Oryzias latipes: one gene and its partner. The protein of the gene in region 1 interacts with the protein of each later gene in a pairwise test. Links are inferred from orthologs where the notes say so. Each region holds a gene or a part of one and is shown on either strand. Other genes may lie near its edges. The genes, in order: rpp30 and rpp14.

The links.
Region 2: the proteins of rpp30 (region 1) and rpp14 interact in binary tests that used the Homo sapiens proteins (3 or more experiments, as listed by UniProt). The link is inferred for Oryzias latipes from reciprocal best matches to the Homo sapiens genes RPP30 and RPP14.

What each region holds. Positions count from the first base shown.
Region 1 is NC_019877.2:1,034,724-1,045,205, reverse strand, and holds rpp30 (ribonuclease P protein subunit p30), read right to left. Parts: upstream 6,808-10,482; 5' UTR 6,543-6,807; coding exon 6,461-6,542; intron 6,207-6,460; coding exon of another isoform or gene 6,197-6,206; exon of another isoform or gene 6,166-6,196; coding exon 6,107-6,165; exon of another isoform or gene 6,097-6,106; intron 6,043-6,096; coding exon 5,908-6,042; intron 5,821-5,907; coding exon 5,749-5,820; intron 5,636-5,748; coding exon 5,546-5,635; intron 5,437-5,545; coding exon 5,320-5,436; intron 5,251-5,319; coding exon 5,221-5,250; intron 5,068-5,220; coding exon 4,851-5,067; intron 4,721-4,850; coding exon 4,646-4,720; intron 4,577-4,645; coding exon 4,539-4,576; 3' UTR 4,394-4,538; downstream 1-4,393. Other genes in the region: nudt13 (nucleoside diphosphate-linked moiety X motif 13), read left to right, coding at 6,197-6,206, 10,085-10,220, 10,287-10,429. UniProt on the Homo sapiens protein: Component of ribonuclease P, a ribonucleoprotein complex that generates mature tRNA molecules by cleaving their 5'-ends. Also a component of the MRP ribonuclease complex, which cleaves pre-rRNA sequences.
Region 2 is NC_019863.2:25,336,329-25,346,775, forward strand, and holds rpp14 (ribonuclease P protein subunit p14), read right to left. Parts: upstream 5,568-10,447; 5' UTR 4,676-5,567; intron 4,180-4,675; 5' UTR 3,961-4,179; coding exon 3,878-3,960; intron 3,787-3,877; coding exon 3,702-3,786; intron 2,991-3,701; coding exon 2,914-2,990; intron 2,818-2,913; coding exon 2,739-2,817; intron 2,591-2,738; coding exon 2,534-2,590; 3' UTR 2,503-2,533; coding exon of another isoform or gene 2,032-2,502; 3' UTR 1,818-2,031; downstream 1-1,817. Other genes in the region: pre-mRNA-splicing factor ISY1 homolog, read left to right, coding at 1-2, 80-197, 274-396, 478-590, 713-802, 1,494-1,601; hydroxyacyl-thioester dehydratase type 2, mitochondrial-like, read right to left, coding at 2,032-2,502; MAP kinase-activated protein kinase 2, read left to right, coding at 6,874-7,140. UniProt on the Homo sapiens protein: Component of ribonuclease P, a ribonucleoprotein complex that generates mature tRNA molecules by cleaving their 5'-ends.

The DNA of each region.
Region 1 (10,482 bases):
ATCAATCATCACTTCTGCAGATTCTCCTCAGATTCTGTTCCTGAAGTTCTGGATCCTGAATGTGACCGGAACCATCAGCTTTGAGCCTGGACCCCCCCCCCCCCCCCAGGGATCAGGCTGTAATGACACGTTCTTTCTGGTTTTTGTTTCTGAAATGAACGGAGGAGCAGCAGAACCAGAACTGTTCCTCCAACCAGACCTCAGAACGCCATGGAAGTCCAGACCCTCAGCATCATCTCAGACTTTCAGAACACGGGTGAAGAAGGAGCAGGGCTCCTCCCCCCCAGCAGAACCTGAAGGGGTCCGGATGCCAGGTCCAAACTCAGCAGAACCTGTTTCTAGATGGATGGATGGAACTTCTGATGATCTGCAGATTTGCTGGCTCCTGCTGAGAGAATGTTGTTCCTTAAAGAGAGGAAGAGGAGGAGGAGGAGCTGCTCTGCAGGGCCTCGGGGAGGAAGATTTTACGCTCAAAATCCTTCGACATGAAAATGATGAGAAACAAGTCAAACTTCGCCACTGAGGACGGAGGGGGTGGAGCTGTGGGGGGCCTGAGGGACCAGAACCGAATCTGAAACAGCGTTTAGCACTCTGCTGACCTTCATCCTCCTTCTCCTCCTCCTCACACTCCTGCATCCCCTCCTGTTCTTTCGCTCCGTTTGCTCAAACAGCTTCCACTCGTTTAACAGATCCTCAGGAGAGACCCAGAACCCGTCCGTCCGGATTCCATCTCAATCCGCCCGCTCAGCCGTCCTCAGGCCACCTTAAGTCGCGCTTTGAGTCAGTTCCACCTTAAGTGAAGCCTGTGAAGAGATCTCTGCTGAGCAGAAATGAGTCTGATCTTCAGATCAGACAATTAACGCTTCATTTGATTTGTCAATAAATTTCTGATTTGGAATGAAACATTGATGTAAAAACTATTTATGTGAAAAAGGAAGTTTCTGTCACAAGAAGGACAAAAACAGTAAAATACTGAAATCTAAAGTGGACTTTTTCCCAAAATAAAAGAACATCTAACTATAACGACATTTACCCTTAGTAGGGGGTCACATAATATTCATATTTAGATAATTAACTGTTAAAAAAAGAAACTTAAATGTGGAAATTAAAGCTTCAATCTGGTTTAGTTGTTAATCATCTTTTTTAGTTAATTGGAGGAAGAAATTGGAAGGAATAACTTTTGTGTGATTTTGCTTATTAATGGGCTTTGGCCTGTTGACAAAAATATAAATAAATAAATTCTCCTTTGCATCACTATCTGATCAAATTTATTTATTGTATGTTCACATTTATTTAGATTTACAAAAGAACAAAAGAAGGAAAACCTTTCTTGTCTTTTGGCTTTTGAAATGTGTATTTCATAGTCCAGGGGTACAATATTACAAAAATATAATGTTTAAATTATAATTTTCTGTGTTTTGAAATTCTCTTTTTTTTTCAAACCTAAAAATCATGATCAGTTCAAAGTGTTTAATAAGTCTTTTTGTTATCATTGATCTGTTGTCCATAAATATTGTGATTTTCTGAGGATCAGCTCCTGTGCTCTGCTGCCCCCTGGTGGCTCAGAATGCAGCAGCAAAAACCCTTTGATTTACATATTCTGCTAATTATTAAGCATTGATTGTTTTTTATGATGGTCTCAAATAAACTTTATAACTCAATACATACAAAAATATATATATTAAGAGAATTTACAAATGTTTCCATGTCTGACCAGAGCTGTTTGGTTTTAACACAAGGAGGAAAAAAAGGTGGAAAAGTGTTTCTTTGTTATGTTGGTAAACTTCACAAATATCATTGATATTATATCTTAAAATGTGTTAATTTTTTTACATCTTTTTTTAAAAAATTGAACATTAAAACTCTGATCCCTTATTAACGGTGACGTTAAAAGTTTGACCTTCCTCTGATTGGTTTTTTTCTGCTGTTACGTCACTGTATTTGAAAAAGAGTGGAAAAAGGGAATGGCGGAAAAGGTCAAAATAAAGAAGTTAGGGGGAAGTATGACTTCCGGTCCAGATTAAAATATTCAAATTAAAAGCAAAAATTTACACCTAAATGTGGCTGTTTAGAGATATTAAAAAATTTTCCAACAAAAAAGCAAAACTTAAACTCTATGTTTTGTTGGTCGGTCTCTCCAGAAATTATAATGTATTAATTAATATTGTTTTCAGTTTTTTTTCATTAAACATGAACTGAACACGATTGAACGGTAGAACGAGAGGTCAATATATGGATAGATACATTTGTGGGATCTTATGAAATTTATTTCATTGTTTTTTGAACAATAATTTCAAAGACTAAACCGACTTTGACAATGTGACCGTTTCATCTGTGCTTTTATTGTGAAGGGCCAGAACGTGTTTGGACCGGATGTGTCCCGCTGTAAACTAAAGTCTGCAGGTCGACGGAAGGACGGAGGGTTCCGTGACCCAGAGCTGCAGGGAGCCCACAGTCGCCTGGCGAGTGGCTAACCGGTGACCCGCCCGGTTTCACGGGGATTTGTTTGTATACCGGCAGTAAACACAGCCAGCTTCCGGTCACTGCGCGAACGCGAAAGTTTTCCTGCCAGTAAGCTACATGTTAGCATGGAAGGCGCTAACCTGCTGAAGAGGCGGTTCCTGGAGGAGGGGGCGGAGCTTTGGAGTTGTAAACCAGTGCAGGTGAGAGAAAAATACGTTTGTGGACTTCAGTCCTGATTGATCAGGTAATAATAATCAGTCAGTTGTCCTTCCGCTGATTAAACCTTAGTTAGCTAGCTGATTTGTTTAACATCCACTTCCTGGTTCCATAGTGGGACTGAAGACCCTGACTGGGCTGCCCGCTGAAGTGCCCAACCGTTTATTTACCTTTATCTCCTGCTTCTGTTGTCAGAACGATGTTTGGACCAGATTTATACGGTTCTAAGAACCCATCCAAGTCCACTCTGGGCCCGGATGTTCTGATGCTTCTGAGGTTCCAGATAAAGGAAAAGTAAATCTTCAGTTTGAAGATCTCACGGCTCCAGAAGTTCACGTTGGTGGTTGTCATTTGGAAAGTAGAGGGGGTGGGGTCGTTATTATGATCAGGTGATCAATCAGCTGGCTGTCACGGAGTTTGTCTGTGATTCTAACTTAGCTTCAAAACCGCTTCACTCGGGTCTGGGTCAGTTCCTGCAGATGTTTCTATAAATGAAGCAGAAGTTTGAACACACTGATGATGTTTGCATCCAGAAGCGACTGTGCATGGAGGCGGCTCTGCAGCTGGCGGAGTGTCCCATGGAGACGTCCTGCGTTGCCACGGTGACCAGTCAGCAGGAGCAGGTCAGTGCTTGAAGCTGCAGATGTTGTTCATTAAAGTCAACATTCTGGCCAGATGGACGTAAACAAAACAAAAAAAGCCCGTTGACTCCCATCAGAACCTCCCTGAGGTTCCACGTTCAGATCAGAAGCCTCAGCTTCATGTGATGCTGCTGTTGCCATAGAAACGAGGTCCCTTGACGTGTGCGCAGGTTCGTGCCGTTCATCTCAGACCTCCTACCATCTGCTGCGCCCGATGTCTCGGAGGAGAGCCGGTAATTTCTTCATCAGCTTTAGCACCTCTAAGTTTGGCTTTTTTATTAGTGAAATGAATTCTGGGAGATGGAGTCAACTGCTTGGTTCTTGTGCTTTTAGGGTCATATCAACCACATCATGGGTCTCTGAAGTGAGGAGGAGAACTTCCTGCAGTCTCTGGAGGACTCGTCTGAACCTTCAACCATCAAACTACTCTTAAACTCCACCTGAGGGTTTTTCTTCAGCAGCTGCTGCCAGAGCTTCAGGCCATCATCGTCTTCCTCCATCGACTCGCAGTAACTCCAGCGGGTCGGGACGTCCACCCCACTTGTGTTTACTTTTGATTTTGTTCTGCAACACTCTGATGTTTGAGGCTATTAGAGGTTTTTTGCTTCAGTAAGTTTAAGCCACGCCCTCCTCGTCTGATTGGTTTAATCCATCCAGTCCAAAGAAACTGCTATGACCTTTGACCTCTAACAGTAAAGGGCTATTTCACCAGGGAGGGTGTTTCTCCCCTCAGTCTGGTCTCAGGATAACTCCTCCCTCTGTGGTGTTTAAGGGAAAAATTCTGTTTAGTGACTTGAATTAACTTTAAAAAATGTTTAATTTAATTACATCTTTGTACGATTAATGAAATATGAATCCAGAAATGTTCACTAGTCTTCCTGTTCGTACATTTCTATTTTTATAAAGATATCTATATTTGTATGTCCAATCTGAATGTGAAGGAACGACCTCCTAAACTTTATTTCATTATCGTCAAGCTCCAAGACTAACAGCGTTTGTAATGTAGATTTCAGAATAAAAGCTTTGATACGCTTTGATTTTGAAATAAGACTCCTTTTTTTAAGGGGGGGGGGGGAGGTTCTTAAATCAATTTTATTTTTCCAAAAAAATACAAAAGTTGTCCAAAAAAATTTTTTTTAAATACTTGATTTAAAAAAGAAAAACTCATGATAATGAAGTCACAGAAATCGGAGCTGGCCCCGCCTCCCTAGCTGTCAATCAGGTGGTCTTGACCCTCTTGGCGGCAGGAGTGTCACCTGCACAGGTAGACGTTACATTCTTATCAGATACTCGGATGCTGAGCTCACTTCTGCACCAGAACTGACCCTCCGGAGGATCCGACGGCGCCTCCTGCTGGCTCCTCGCCGTGTACACGATCCCGCTGGCCGTCTTCCGAGTTTCTGACCACAAACACACACGGGTTGGAATTAACATCCAGGATCCGTCCACAAGTCGTGGACTGAAAGTCTCTGCTTCCTCTGTCCCTAAACAGGAGGAAGAGGAAGAGCCTGGGATGGCGTCCGTCCTCACCTGCGTGCAGCAGCGCCGCCCTGCAGGTGGAGGAGACGGCCTCTTTTGCGTCTCCATCTGACAAACCGAACAGCAAACCTCTGAAGACGCACATCAGGAACACAACAAACAGACACTGCTGTTGTGGGGGGGCGGCTGCTGTGACGGGGCCCCACCCACTCGTGATGATCAAAGGATACAGGTTGGTGATGTCATACGGTCCTCGCAGCTCCAAAGCCTGAAAACACAAAGGATTTTTAAAAACTACGGGAGCCTGAGAGGACCAAAACTCAGGTCTGCCATTGAGGTTCAACAGGTGGAGTAAAAACAGCTTTCACTGTGAAACACGGGGGTGGCAGTGTGATGGTGTGGGCAAGTTCAGAACACTGACCTTCTCTGCCGCGCTGGACAGGATCACGTTCTGAAAGACCAACAGATGTGTCAGGTGAGTGATGATGTCACCTCAGAGTGGGCGGGGCAAAGAACCCACCTTCCCTTTACAGCTGTCCGTCAGACTGGCGGCGTTGGCGATGGTGTAGCGCCTCATGGTGGAGTCTCTGATGGCCGCAGAGTACGACACCTCGAACATGACTCCGCGGTCGATGGCCTGGACACAGCAACGCGCACACATGCAGAAAAACGCACACATGCAGAAAAACGCACACATGCAGTCGCACAACGGCGACAACGAGAAGGCCTGGCGGCGGAGAGGTCACCCCATTGATCGGCGCTCTCTTGAAGAAAAAAGGAAGCTTCTCGGTGACGGAGATGCAGATGATGTCGATGTCGTACAGCATGCAGGCCGCCTGCACGCACACACACACACACACACACACACACACACAAACAAATGACTGATGTCTAACACAAACCACAACTAGAATCTCCTGAAGACACTGAACACATCAGTGAAGCTCACATGGAACAGCTTCTCCGAGGTGGGCTGCACCGCCAGGAGGTCAAAGCGGCGATACTCTGGAGCGTTGGGCCTCTGAACACGTTCACACACACACACACACAGAAGGTTTGGATCGATCAGCTGATTGATTCCGATCAATACTTCAGCACAGACTCTTACATAGTGACTGGGGTCGGACACCACCACGGTCAGCCTGTTCAATACTCTGATGGGGCGGGAGCGCCCCTGCACGACGGGCAGCTGATCAATCAGCTCATTGATTGGTTTAGGGACAGGAATTTCCTGCAGAGGAAGCTGAGACTTTCAAAGTAAAAGCCATGACGTCAAGGTGGGAGTTTGTGGTTCCGGGTGGACTGACCTGCTTCTGCTTGGCTGTCGGTTCGAACATGTAGTTGATGGCGACGGTGGAGAAACCCACTGCAAAGACAAGAAGAAGGCTTTAGAGCGCATGCGCACAGGTGAGCCACACGAGCGTCCTAGCAGAACCCCGAGGAACGTCAGCAGCAGAGGTTGTCGAACAGGAGGAAGTTCTGGTCACGTCCGAACCGGGTTCTTCTCCATAAGGACTTTTCACGCGGAGGTTTAATGGGAAGCAGCGCGCGGGGGAATAAACGATTCGAATCGCCAGCTATCTTTAAAACATCCGGGTATTTCTGCTAAAACAGGCGAAGCTGCCGAACCACAGAACCGGGAAGTTCGGGGGGTAACTTACGGTGAGCCGCCGTCTCCAGCAGTTTGCTGATTCGAGTCCGGTCCGCCGAAAACATCAGATTTAGGTCCATGAAAACCGCCATGACGCTGCACGTGCGGAAACCCCAAAGGCCGATGGGAGTTGAAGTCTCGTTTGCGCAGGGGCGTCACTGGGTTCTCGCGATGGTGGGAGACCAGCCCAGTTTTTTATTCTTCATCTGGATTTCTGAATTACTTAACCTAAAATTATCTTTGAAAAAATTAATTATTGACAATATGTCAGTTTTTGAAATCCCCATTCATTTTTATTTTATCCACTTATTTATAGTTGGTTAATTTGTTTCTTTGTTGATCTCATCTTTATTTACACATCTATTGGCATGTCAGTCTTATGCATGCTCCTTTTTTTATTTATTTATTTGTTTATTTATTTGGGGGGGGGGGGGGGGTTACACAGCAATTGGTTGACGTGAAACCATTTATTTTACTGAGAGATAAATCCAGGACTAGTGTCCAGTCTTTTTCTGTTTGATAAGCAGTGATGAAAGTCTTCCGGGAATTCCCGGAAATCCGGGTTTTTGAGCAAACCGAACGTACTTTCCGGGAAATAAAGACCTGATCTCTACGGACAAATCGCTTTCCGGATTAAAAAATGGTCTGAAATCAGCTAATTTTAGCTTTATTTTCTATATTTCTCCGCAGATCGTTTCCTCTATGGTCGTGGCCATCTCTCGTCTTCCCGGCCTAATTGACCAATGACGGGACGTTTTAGTTGCTTTCGGATGCGTCGACGGGTCTGATTGGCTCTGTCTGCACCACGTGGTCAGCGTGACTTGCTTCCCTAGAGACCAAAACTGGCGGACCCACGCTAAACTTTCACAAACACATCTGTAGAGTTTGCGATCAAATTTGTGTTAAAATAATGGCAGGCATCGTCATTATTGAGCGTGGTCACGACCTCAGTTGTGAGAAGACGATAAAAAACAAATTGAAGTGGTCTTGGATGGAAAAAAAAAAAAGATTTTTAAGGTAGTGTAGGTCAAATACTTTTTTGTGTAAAATAATCTCAAAACCACATTTTGAAATAATTTCAATTTTAGTTTTGAGTTTCAGTTTTTATTTTGAATACATTTCTTTATCTAATTTATTTGTATTTCCTAATTACCATGATTTAGTTCAGTATAGTTGACATTAATTATAAGTATTTGATGGTTTGGACCCGCACTCCCTTAAAAAATAATGTTTACAATGTTTTGTTTAGTTTGTATGTTTGTTTTGATATTTCCCAGATTACTTAGTATTGGTGTTAAAGAATTGATGTATTATGTTATAGAATTATAGTTTAAAGCAGATCCCATATTTTGATGTAATTATAGTTTGAGAAAACAGTGCAAGTGGATGTTGTACATCAGTCATTTCTAAAGCAGAAATAATGTATAAATAACTGAGGTATTTTCATAGAATATCATAGTTACTGGTGTTCTTTTTGCCATTTGGGGCTTTGATGTTACTATATTTTAGCAATTGTATGTTTTGCAGCTTTAAGGAAAAGCGTAGATTGTAGGATTGTGTTACTTTGAGCAATTTTCCAAATTCTTTTTTAGGACCAGCAAGTCCTTAATGGAGAGTCAAACTAGGGGTTTGAATGACAAATCATGATGCTCCAATTAGTCTTAGTTTTTTGATAAAGAAGTGAATAACTAGCTGCCAGAATGCACCAGAATGCATCTAAGACCACGTATTTTTCCAAAATTTCGCTCTGTGCCCGCCATATCGCTCAAAGAAAAGTTCAGGGATTTTTTCCTTGCCTGACTTTCATCACTGGATAAGTTCAAGTTATGTTTTTTTTTTTTTATTCCTTTAAGGAGTCCTAGTTGTGCCTCAGAAACCTTTGCTTTGTAATCAATATATTTGTCTTAGTGTCAAATCAACAGATGAATCATTTATCATCAGGATGGTCCCCCATCAATCAAACAGAAGGTTTGCTGCACTGTGAATGTTGGTGTAAATATGCTACAGAAATCCACGATGATGTCTGGACTCTTTCAGGGTCATACATGATGTCAGCGTTGAATTTCAGATGGATGTTAAGTTAAGGAGGTTTGAAGTTTTGACTGGAATGAACAATTTTCACCATCTGCATGAATGAAGCTGTCAGTCAAAACTGTTGTTTTATTTTAATTACCAAGAATCTATTAAAATTGTAAAACTTTAAGGATTTGATGTCATTGGGAGTTTAATTCTTAAACTGTTGCAATAAAATGGAAATGATGTTTTTTGGTAGTTTTGCTATTTGTTTATATACCGTAAATTCAATCGTTATCGCAATATTAATCACCAATATCGCAAGTTTTGCTTATGCCGTGCAGCCCTACTGTTAATTCAGTTAATGCTCAGGTATTATCTGGTTTGTTTCTCACTGATTATTGTCATTGTTCTCCTTTATCATCTTTTTTCCGCAAATGATGAGTTTTAAATATCGTACACTATCTTTTTGTTTAACCTTTTAACCTTGTGGTATTCAGAGCGAAAAGCAAAGTGAGCATCTCAGGAAAACCTGTTTCCTAACTGTACAATGACAATAACCCCTTTAATCCTTGAAACTTATAAATAAACACATGAAATAACCTTTTTTGTGTGTTTTTGCTGGTCTACTTTGTGCATTCACACCCAGTTTTACATGTTTTTATTTATCTTCTTTTCACGTGTCGCTCTGATCTCAACCTAAAGTCCACTTTTCAAACCCTTTTCAGGTCTAAACCCTTACAAAGAATTGCTCAGAAAACGGAATTCCTGAAAATTGTTCTTTTTGTAATGAGGATATTAAAACAACTGAGCATCTTTTCTTTTAATGTTTTTACTCTAAAGCCTTTTAGGATATACGTTGATACGATGATATACGTTATTGGCTTTTCCCCAAGATTCCATGTCTATCAGACTTTTCCATAAATCATTTTTGGGTTTATTTTAGAAAACAAAAACACAGAAATCGTTTTAAATGTTATAACTATCCTGGGTACATTTTATATACACAAATGTCGATTCCTTTAAACCAAACCATATTCTTTTACCTAATTTTGTAATTGTTTACATTTTTCTATGCTATATCTAATTATAATTTGACAAACACCTTGGACAACTGCCACAAAGATTGTAAACCTCAAGTTTGTGTCTTCAATAAAAAATAAAATATATAATAAAAACTCTGATCTCAGATCAGTTTCCGGTCCGGAGCGGAACGTTCCCCTTTCCCGCCAGCAGGGGGCGGTGCGCGCGTCAATCTCGCTCTGTGAGGCACCGCCGAGGAAGACGTTCAGCAACCTGCAGGTACGAAAAGACACGAACCGAGCCGAACCACGGTTCTATTCTGATACTGAATCCCAAGGTTCGGTTTTACCGGTCCGTTGAAATCTTCCCGCTGACTTAAAAGAACATCGCGTGAAACACGTGACTCGGTGTTGTCAAACTTTAGAACTTTGCCCCAAAGCACAGAACGGGTCAGGTCTGTTCCGGTTCGGCTATATGTTTGGAATATCATATCATACATCTGTTTCCCGAGTCTACCGGGAGTCCATGTGGATAGGAACCGGTCTGTTAGAATAGGTTCGGACCCCAGCAGAACCTTTGACCTGTTTCCTGTCTGCAGGCAACAGAACCAGGCCAGTTCTGACTAGTGGACCCAGAACGATGCTCCTCCTAAACCCTCTGAGGGGGATCCTCAGTGCCAGACCTCAGGTTCTGGGTCTGACCCGCTTCAGCTCCAGCTTTGTGTCCAGGATGAGGTCAGGAACCCAAACTGATTGATCGAGTGACCCGATTGATGTGATTGATGTACAAACTGGGTCCAGATTCCTGAACCGGCTGAAGCAGGAGGACGAGGCGTGTGCGGCGGCGCTGCAGGACGGTCAGCTGGTTCTGTTCCACCGCCTTCAGCCTCTGCTGCAGCGCGGACCCACCGGAACCTTCAGACCCGTCACCCTCACCTGCTCAGGTACCAGAACCTCAGGAGGAACGAGAACCTAATACTGAAAGCTAAGACTGCTG
Region 2 (10,447 bases), on another chromosome or scaffold:
GGGTAACCAGTCCCGTCTGCGGCTGGCTGCTCCGGTCCGAACCAGGAAGATGGAAACGTTGATTGTGTTTGTGTTCCAGCGCTTTGGACCGAGGATGCTGGACCACGAGGGCAAAGAGGTTCCAGGTAACCGCGGCTACAAATACTTTGGAGCAGCCCGAGACCTGCCTGGAGTCAGAGAGCTGTTCGAGAAGGAGCGTAAGTATCCTTGCTACTTCCTGTTTACCAGGAACCTGTCATGATGGTTGCTGCATGACTGTTACGTGACCCACAGCTGCTCCGGAGCAGAGGAAGACGAGGGGAGAGCTGATGAAGGACGTGGATGCAGAGTACTACGGCTACAGGGATGAAGACGACGGCGTGCTGCTTCCTCTGGAGGTGCAGTACGAAAAACAAGGTAGATCTGCTGCAAACGATGGTCTGGACTTGTGGACCAGCATGTAGAGGGGTGACTGACACAGTGTGCGTTTGTGTACAGCTGTGATGGAGGCAGTTCAGAAGTGGAAAGCGGAGAAGGAGACCCATCTGCCTGGAGAGAAACCGGCACAAGAGGAGGAAGAAGAGAGCATTTACAGTGTCCAAAACCAAGAGGTGACCTTCATCTACTTGACTCATCCAACCAGCTGCTGTACAGCTGACCTCACCCAGTCAAACCTGCGGTGTGTTGTATCTGAGCATTCTGTTCAGGGTGTGCTTGATTTGTCTCTTCACAGCCCGATGATGATGAGAATCGGGATGAACTGGAGGAAGAGGAGGGCGGAGTCACGTTTTTTGCCCATGTTCCAGTCCCATCTCAAAAGGAGGTGAGGTTTCATGCGTGTGGTTCTGTTGTGGAGCGATGAAGAGTGGAGCCCCTGTAGCTTCCAGTCAGGTCCACTGACTATGCATGACTGGATCTAGTGAGTGTGATGTCACCCATAAAAATGGCTTACTTTCAGCTCCAGTGAAAAGTCAGTCGCCATTTTTTTCAGGATACGGATCTTGTTGGAGGCAGACTGTAGTAGCCAGTAGTGAGCCCGTATGAATCAATGTTTCTATGGCAACCACTCTCGCCAATTAGGAGTGAGCGTGTTGGAAGTCCACACCTCACGCTATCAATCGAACTGTTAAACAGTTCGAACAAGAGATACGTGGATACATCAGAATTTCCTGAACCTAAGAAAATCTCTTTATTTTTTTTGTAGTTGTAATAAAATAAATCACTTCCTGTATTCCGGGTATCATTCACTATTTTGTCATCTCCTTCGTGTTGGGTGAAGAACACAAGCTCTTTTTTTGGTTATCATTCATCTGATTGGCTGATTTGCCGATTGGGTGAGAGTGAAAGGCTGCTGATTGAGAAGCAAAAGATTGAATTATAACTAAGAGTACCATACTTTTTTCTTTTTTTTTAATCATTCACTCCATCAGAGTAAGGAACTTCCAATGGGGTTTTATATTGCTGTTGCATAAGAATATGATGGTCTACATCCATAACATTTGTTTCTGCCCCAGGTGGAGGAAGCTCTGGTAAGGAGGAAAAAGATGGAGCTGCTGCAGCGTTACGCCAGTGAGACTCTTCAGGCTCAGAGTCAGGAGGCCAGAGCCCTGTTGGGTCTCTGATCATTGTTCTACTTGTGTGTCCCACTTTGCTGCTCCGCTCTCAATAAAGCTTCTTCTTTGCTATTTTTACAAACTTGTTTGTGCGAGTCTTCAATCGAACCCCATCATCTCCTGACAGACAATCCTGTTTCCAACCATCATTTCTGCTGCATGGATACTCTGAGCAGCAGAAACTTCGGGGACTTTTAAACCTGAACAATACAAACACTTAACCTGTTATTTTTATACAATAACTTTAATCACCAAAAGACAAAGAGCATGCTGAGGTGTAATTACAAATTCTAAAATGTGATCAAACTTGAAAAGTTAGAAAAATAACTTTTTCTAATGAAGAAAAACAAAAATTCAGCTAGACGACTGACACGCGTCTTTAGACCTCATTTAAAACCAAACTTGAAACCAAAATCTGCTGCATCTGGATGTCCTCCAGTCACTTTCCCTGATGCTGTTGCTCCACAGGCATCATCACCATGACCTCCCCCTCCATCACCACTTTGTCCTTAGCAGAGCACCTCACAGAGATGAAGGCGAACGACATCTTGATTTTGAACACCTCTGCTTCTGCCAGCACCTCCTCTCCAACGTAAAGTGGTGCCAGGAAGCGGATCTCCTGGTGCAGGAAGACGCAGCCGGGGCCGGGCATCTTGGTGCCGAGCACGGCCGAGATCAGCCCGTTGATGAGGACGCCGTGCACAATGGGCGTCTCAAAGGAGGTGGTGCTGGCGTATGCTGGGTCCACATGCAGCGGGTTGGTGTCGCCTGTGAGCTCGGCGAATAGCTCGACGTGGCGAAAGGAGAACGTTTTGGTGAGGGAAGCTCGCTGTCCGACGTGGAGCAGCCGGTTGTGAGGACGAGCCGCCGCGACAGAAGACAAACCGAGTTTGATGATGTTTCTCCACATGGCTGCACTCAAACCAGAAGCAGCTCCCGCTTCAGTGGAGCTGCAGCTCACGACTGTTTCCTGTCAGCGCCAACAGGAACGGAGACACCTGAGAGCAAAGTGGGGAGTTTTATTTACATCTGAATAGCAGGTAAGCAGATTTCTCATTTTGAGTTAAAACCAACAGTAATTTGATCGCTCCACTGACAAAATGGTTTATTTCACAATCACCAAATGTAGAAAACATGTTTCCTGACCTGCAGCACCCTGAAGGCGCAGCTCTGGTTCTGATAAGAGCCGAGCAGAGTCAGGGAGCTCCACAGTTTCACTAAACCACTGGGGGGGGGGGGGAGAAAAGAGCATAATTAACACAACATTCACAAACTTTGAAATGTGAATTAGAAATTCTGACAATTATGCCTTTAGGCTGACCTGCTGTGAACACGCAGAAGAGCCGTCAGACTTCCTTCATCATACTTCAACACATCAAAGTTCAACGCTGCTCCAACCTGAGGTACATTTATGCAAACAGCAGCATTATAAAAGCGTTTCCAGTTGACTTTTCATTGTGATAGTGCAGTCGTTGATTTTTCCAGCCAAAGTGAAAAAATCTGTGTTGCTTTCTAGGACATAATTTCTGCAGAGCAGCAAAACTTCGTTAGAATTCTCAGAGTTGCAGGTGGGACTGTTGGCATGGAGTAAACCTACCATCATCCTTCTGTTTAAACACTCTCCCACTAGCTTACAGCCTCTCACAACCCCAGCCTAACATTAAAGGTGCAACAAAAATGGAGAGCAATATTGGAGCTTTCCAGACGTACAGTTTTGAGCCAAATACCAGCTCGGACGAGGAAAACAAAGACATACACGGATCTATTCGACTGTGTGTGGATGCATCAGAATGGAGTGGAGCAGGGGGCATGCGGCCTGCCAATTGTAATTTCTACGTAAAAATACAACCTTTTTTTAAACTGCATTTTATTTCGTCTGCTTCTGATTCCCAACTATTTGAACACATACTTTGAAATGCGATTTTTAGATTAATGTTCTTATTATATGTCCTCCATCATCAGAAAAATGCCCCAAGAACATGTTTAAAAGACCATTTTCATCTAAAGGGGTCTTCAATGGAAATGCATTCATAATGGTATTCAGCGCTTCATTGCGCTGACAGCTCTTATTTTTGAATTGAGTTCTTCTTTTTCAGTGCACAATCTCACCTCTCCATGAAGATTCTTCAGGCCTGCGATGATGAAGTGTTTCAGCTCTACTGCACTCAATCTGTTTGAGTTATCCTCCAGTTCACTAAACACAAGTGGTAACATACAGATGAAGTTCCCTTCTAAGAGCTGGGCAGACACTAAAGACAGAACATTAATCTTGAACAGAGACTCACAGGTGGACTTTCATGTAGTGGTGCGGTGAAGCGTTCTTCAACACGACACGGTGAAAAGTCTCCTCTTTGTTGATAGCTTTCATTTTAGTGAAACATCAGTGACTCCGTCAAACTGAAACAAATAAACCACAAAAATCTGTTTCCCGAAGAACCAACATGCTGTTTTAAGCAGAGATTACTGATGTGCGTGTGTCCTTCTGAATGATTTGCAACACAGGTCTCAGACTGCAGTCCTCACGCGGTCGATGTCACGCTTGTGTTTCTGCTCTTTCAGCTTCTTCTTGTTGGAAAAACACCTCAACCTGATAATCAGCAGGAGGCCTGGAGGTAAACAACCCTGACACAGAAAATCTTTCCAAATGGTGTCAGAAATGATAGAGCACAAAATTAAATCTTAAAATTTTGTAAATTGTGGTACATTTGTAGTATTTTCCTTTAACTTCTCTCTCTTGGTGTGTTTTATTTTTTATTGATGTTTTACAATTTCGCCGTTTAAGCTAGTTTTTGTTTGTTGTTCAGCTTCCTATCTGGATTTTTGCAAACGTTTAAATATCCAAATCTTTTATTGTTCAGAATTGTTCCACAAAAAAACAAAAGATTTAAGTGTTAAATCAAAACGAAAATTGAAAAACAAAAAAGCCAAGGTCGAACCACCAACCACCAGGAAAGCGAAATATTTACTAGCCAACTCAAATTAAAGTTAGCACCTACGTTGTAAGATGTTAATTCTCCCAAGATACGGACAATAACTGCCCGGATTTCAATATGTGTATACTTAATATAATACGTTGCACTCACCACCACAGTTTTACCAGTTTGAAGTCACAGTTGCATGTTTTCCTTCGACGGGCGCCGCCATGAAAACCTCAGCAATGCGCGTGCGCAACTCCAGCGGAAATGATTTTTTTCTTCCTAAAACTTTATTTCACTACTACAGGATACAAAACAAAAGGACTAAAAACATCCAGGTAAATATAACAGACGAATAAAACAAGAAAAGTTGAACAAATAAAAACAAAATAAATAAAAACTATATAGGTTATTGGGTTACCAGCGTTAAAGAACAATACTTTAGATTTTTACAAGAAAGAGTGTTATTAAAACAAATAAAACTGATCATTTCAAGTCGTTTCTGTAAAAAAATGTAATGCAGGTATACAAATAAATATCATCCAATGATCATGCAAAAGGTTTGAAGATTAACTACAAATTTTGCACATGTATGATAAATGGTGGAGTCTCAAAGAATGTTGTGCAAAAAATGTAAGAATTACATTTAACATTGTTAAAAGCAAACATTCTTTTCATGGGCATGAACAGGTTCAAAGATTTCTTCATTGTCATCTGAGGATAACAGTTCCACGGTCAGAGCAGCTGCAGGGAAACTTTCCCTGTCCTTGGGTGAATTCTTTTTCTTTTTTGTTTTTTTGTAAATGTGCTGAGTGCCAACTTAAAGGAAATTACTGAACCTTTAGAAGTTGCTAAAAAGTATATTCCAAGTTAATATTTTAAACATTTTAAACATAGTTTTACTAGCAGAGAATGGAAGGAGTAGGCTAGATCGAGTGCATATCAAACTTGCTTTTTCTCTTGTTACTTGTTGCTATAACATGAATGTCTATTATCAAATAATTTTCTCTGTATTGTTAAGCCAGTACTGTTCCCTAATTCCTTCATAAAAGTTTTATGATTGTCTCATCCACACACAACATAAAAAGAAACATCCAATAAAAAATATCACCCCCCCCCCCCCACCACCACCCTTTTTTAATAAAAGGCAGAGTACGCTGATTTGTGTAGCACCACAGAAGCAATTTCAGGGAGAGATGCTTCTACAGCATTAGCCAACCAATGCAATCAAAATAATAAATGCCACTTTAGTCCCAAAAAGTTTTTATTTGTCTTGTTTACACATATTAATGACTGGTGCACTGCAGGATGCAAATAAAAACTCATGCCAAACTAATATACCCCAAAAAAAAAAGTCAAAGTACAGAGCCCTGGACATGACATTCAAAGTTAATGAGTAGATTGTTCCCTAAGAACAATACTTTTTGACCACAAATTGTAATTTTGTGTGCACTAATTTGTATTTTGTTGCCACAAATTGGTATTTTATTGACAACAAATTGGTATTTTATTGACAATTTGTGGGCACAGATTAACTTTTTGTTTTGAAATTGTAACATTTTGTCGCCTCAAGTGAGCATTTTGTGCACACAAATTACTACTTTGGTGTGATTAATTCCTTAAAAATTTATGGCTACAGAATATTAATTTGTAGAACCTAGTTTGTGGCCACAAAATGCCAACAAAGTAAAAATTTGTGTCATGTCAAGGGGTCAAAGGAACCCTTTTTCCCACAACAGTGATACAAAATGCGTGTTATTGTCTGGAATTTATTGAAGTACAATTTGAATAATACTCTGAGAGTTAGTTGATATTTCTAGAAGTTTCTTGTTTTTACACCAGTCTGAAAAAACTAAATTTGAGACTTCTTGGCCTCCACAGATCACTAGCAATGAATGAAATGCCACTGAAAAGAAATTGATCAGTGTGTTTGAGTCCGGCTCCTTTAAAGCTGTCGCCTTGAATGAATGAATAAAGGAAGGAAGGTGGGGCTTAAACAAACAGTGACAGGAGCTGAAGGAACACGTGAGAGTGACTGAGACTCAAGATCAACTGCAGGTCGGAGTTGCTGGTCTGTCAGTGTCACAGACAGCAGACCGGACTTTTATTTTCGGTTGTTGTAAACCGATCCGCTTCGATTTTTTTGGGAGAACTCTCCTGACCGGACAGGTTACTTAAGCCGTATACTTCAGGTTTGATCGATAAGAGAGAAAAACTTGTTTTTTTTTTTTATGTGAAATACTTTAGCGAGTTTTACTAAGATTTCCTTTGGAGTCCTGGACGAGCCGATGCGGCGCGGCTAGAGGTCTGGTCCGGAAGGGTTGCTGGAGAATTGACCTCCCCCTGTAAGATCCCAGGTGCTGAACATGCTTCAAAATGGAAATATTAAGGAGGAAAAGCTGCCGCAACCAGAAGAGACGGGGGAGACGAAGGGTGACTCACCCGGTCCCGCGGCGGACGACAAGGACTCCGAGCCCTCACACTTCCCCATGCCGGTTCACACCAAACTGGAGATAAAACGCAACGCAGTGACGGACGATTACAAAATCTCCAGTCAGGTTCTGGGCCTGGGGATCAATGGGAAAGTCCTGGAGTGCTTCAATAAGAAGACTGGAGTCAAGTGCGCGCTGAAGGTAGTGAAAAAAAACAGTCCTGAAGCTTTCCATTCTGAGAGCAGCTGACGCACACAGTGGACGGCGGAGCGCAGACTGTCGCTGTAATTACATAGATAGTATAGTATTGCATACACATGCAGTCTCTTTAGGTGTTGCAAATGCATGCATGACTAAAGCAACACACAGCCATATGACAAAGTAAACATTACAGTCAGCTCAGAAGGAAACAGATGAGGAAGTTACTTCAGTGTCACATGTACTTGGAAATAATAGAAATATTTGTTTGGATAACTGACATTCACTAAGTGAATGGACAGAAGAACCAAAAAGTGTTGCATTTATTAAAGCTCAAAGGTGATTTAAAAAAAGTCATCTTTGCTAATACATATTTATTAGAGGTGTAGCGTTTCATTTCAACAGCGATTCGATTTGTATAGAATTACCGATACTTTTCAAGATTGATTCATTTTGAACGATCCAATTCACTGAGCTACAATCTATCCAGGATGTCTTTAGCCAACAATTCAGACTCAGACATAAATACCTGCGTTCTGAACAGTGCAGGTGACGATTCCTTGTATTTCTTGCAAGATAATCAAACTAAGTGTACAAACACATACGTAAACAAGAATTAATGGCAAATCCATTCACAATTTAGTTTCCTAAAGTTCAGCCCACTGTTTTTTTTCCACATCAAAATAATACAAACTATTAGAAGATACTACCACCCTGTATGGTCTTGTGTCTTTGAAAATTTCAAAGTATTTCCACACATTGAGCTGGAATGATGGCTTGATCATATGTTGCCGCCGTTGCATGTGTGTCCGCTGTGATGGTACGTTTTTATGTTATAGTAAAATAAACCCGCTGTGCCTTAATGGTATTTTCCAATATTAGTATAATCAATCTATTTCATTTTGAAACTATGAACAGACCTTTAAACAATATGATATAGGTCAATTTGATTACCAACTTGCTTCAGACAAATCAATGTGTTGGATTGTATATAAATCGATTCATCAATTAAGTCGATTCATTGTTACAACTCTTGCTTTTAGAGTTGTTTATATTCTTCTTGGGTTTCAGGTAATTGGTTTATTAAAAAAAAAAAAAAAGGACAATAGGAGTTTCGTATTTGACAGCGCTTACCTTACTAAGTTACACAGCACACGTGCTGTAAGACCATGTACATTATGCCGTTGCATATGTGTCTATGTGCTGCCCACATGGATTTTTAGCTCAGGCGAATGCAGGAACACGCGGCCACTCAATTATAGCTTTCATATGCAGCAGAGGAAGGTGGTGTGTCTGTGTGTGTGTGTGTGTGGGGGGGGTAATTTGCCTGTCACCTGTCCACACTTGGCCTCGGACTCAGAGATTTGCAGGCTTACAGTAATCTATCTGGATGTGAGCTGCCAGCAGCAGAGCTGTTGCTCAAAGAGACTTAAGATGAAATAAAACTGAAAATACATATTCAAATTCAACTTCATTAAAATGGTAAATGTTGTATACTAATATAGTACTTTACTACCTTCTAAGAAGGCCCAGGATGCTTTACAATCACAGTTCCATTCACCAATGCACACACACACACACACACACACACACATTCACACACTGATGATGGATTCACTGCCAAACACTGGCACCAATTTATAACCACCAGGTCCAATGTGGCGGTCAGTGTCCTGCTCAAGGACACTTCCACACATGGGCCGGCGATCTTCCAATCAGAGGTCTGCCCCTGCATCATGGCTGCACATAATGTAATGTAAAGAAAATAGATGATATTAATAAAAATAGTAATCACAATAAAATCCTCCCCAACATTTTATGCAAAAGCAAACAAGGAAAAAGTGTATAAAACACGAGGAAACGTAAAAAATGACTTAAAAGCTAAATGACAACGGTGAGTTTTTCTGTTTCTTTCTGAAAAACCTCCACCAAAAAACCCATAACATAACAGCTGGAAGTCCAGAAAAGAAAATGTGCTTGATAGCATCACGACTGAGCAGATTACAGTGGATGATGATTACTGAGATGGCCACATAGTCATTCATTCTGTCTCAAGCTTTATGCCATAAACTGAATTTTTATCCATCGGACGAGTGTTAACATTGTTTTACACCACACAAAATGATTTCAGGAATACTCACAGTGCCTGTATTTGTTCTGCAAATTTCTCTGTCATCATGTTACCCCTTAATTTGATCATAACAGAGTTACCTGAGCCTTATAGACTTTAGCTTCAGTAAGTAAAAATCGACACTAAGTCACAGTGACTTAGAGTAGAAACCCCATAAGCCTTATGTGTTCCCTTACTGACTGCCGTTGGGTCTGAAAAAATCTGTTTCTTGGTTTCACGTGGAAAAAGGAAGCGCTGTCTGGTCTGCAGTGGCTCTGAAATGTCCAGTTTGCCTCAGACAGTTCAGAGCGGTCATGTCTCATTTCCTCATTGTGAGGCATGTGGCCTATGCCTTCATTTTCCCTCCAAAGAAAGACTGAACGTTTTCATTGAGAGATGTCGTCTGCACGTTTGCACATAAGCTCTATCCATCTTTGTTGGAAGAAAATTGAAAAAAAGGGTTTCTAATTTTTCTAATTTTCTTAAAGCGCATTAGTTTGTAGTGAAGATCACGCGTGAACTGTAGTAAACTATAATTTCCATTGTATTATATTTTTATCTTAAAGGAAATTGGGTAGAAAAAATAAATAAAGGCGTGATGGATGGGGAAAGAGCTCATAAATGGTGTATGGTGTATACTCAACGAGTTATATAGGCATTGCGGATACTTATACAGCGCTTCACTACTTTCTTAGAAGGTCCAAAGCGCTGTACAGTCACAGTCACAGTCGCCCATTGATGGCGGCTCCACTGCCGAGCACTGGGGCCAACATATGCCCACTAGGAGCAGTGTGGGGTTGAGTGTCTTGCTCAAGGACTTTTGTATGCGCGCGCAAGTGTTTTAAAATCCCACTCTGATAATCTTTTAATCTATTGTAAAAGCGTTCCTTGCGGTCTGGTGCTTTTTTTTAGCCAAAATTCAAAAACCTGTGTCATTTTCTAGGAAATAGTTTCTGCAAAGCGGCAGCTGTTCATTAAAAATTCATCTCTGAGTTGTGGGAAGGACTGTTGGCACAGAGTAAACCTACCCTCATTTCCCATCATCCCTTTGTTTACACTCTCTTACAATGCCTTACAACCCCGAACTAATAATACCGGAGTAACAATAATGGCAAGCAATGTAGCTGCTAGTCAGCCGTATAGTTTCAAATCAGCTCAGACGAAGAAAACAAAGGCATACATGGATCTATTTGTCTGCAA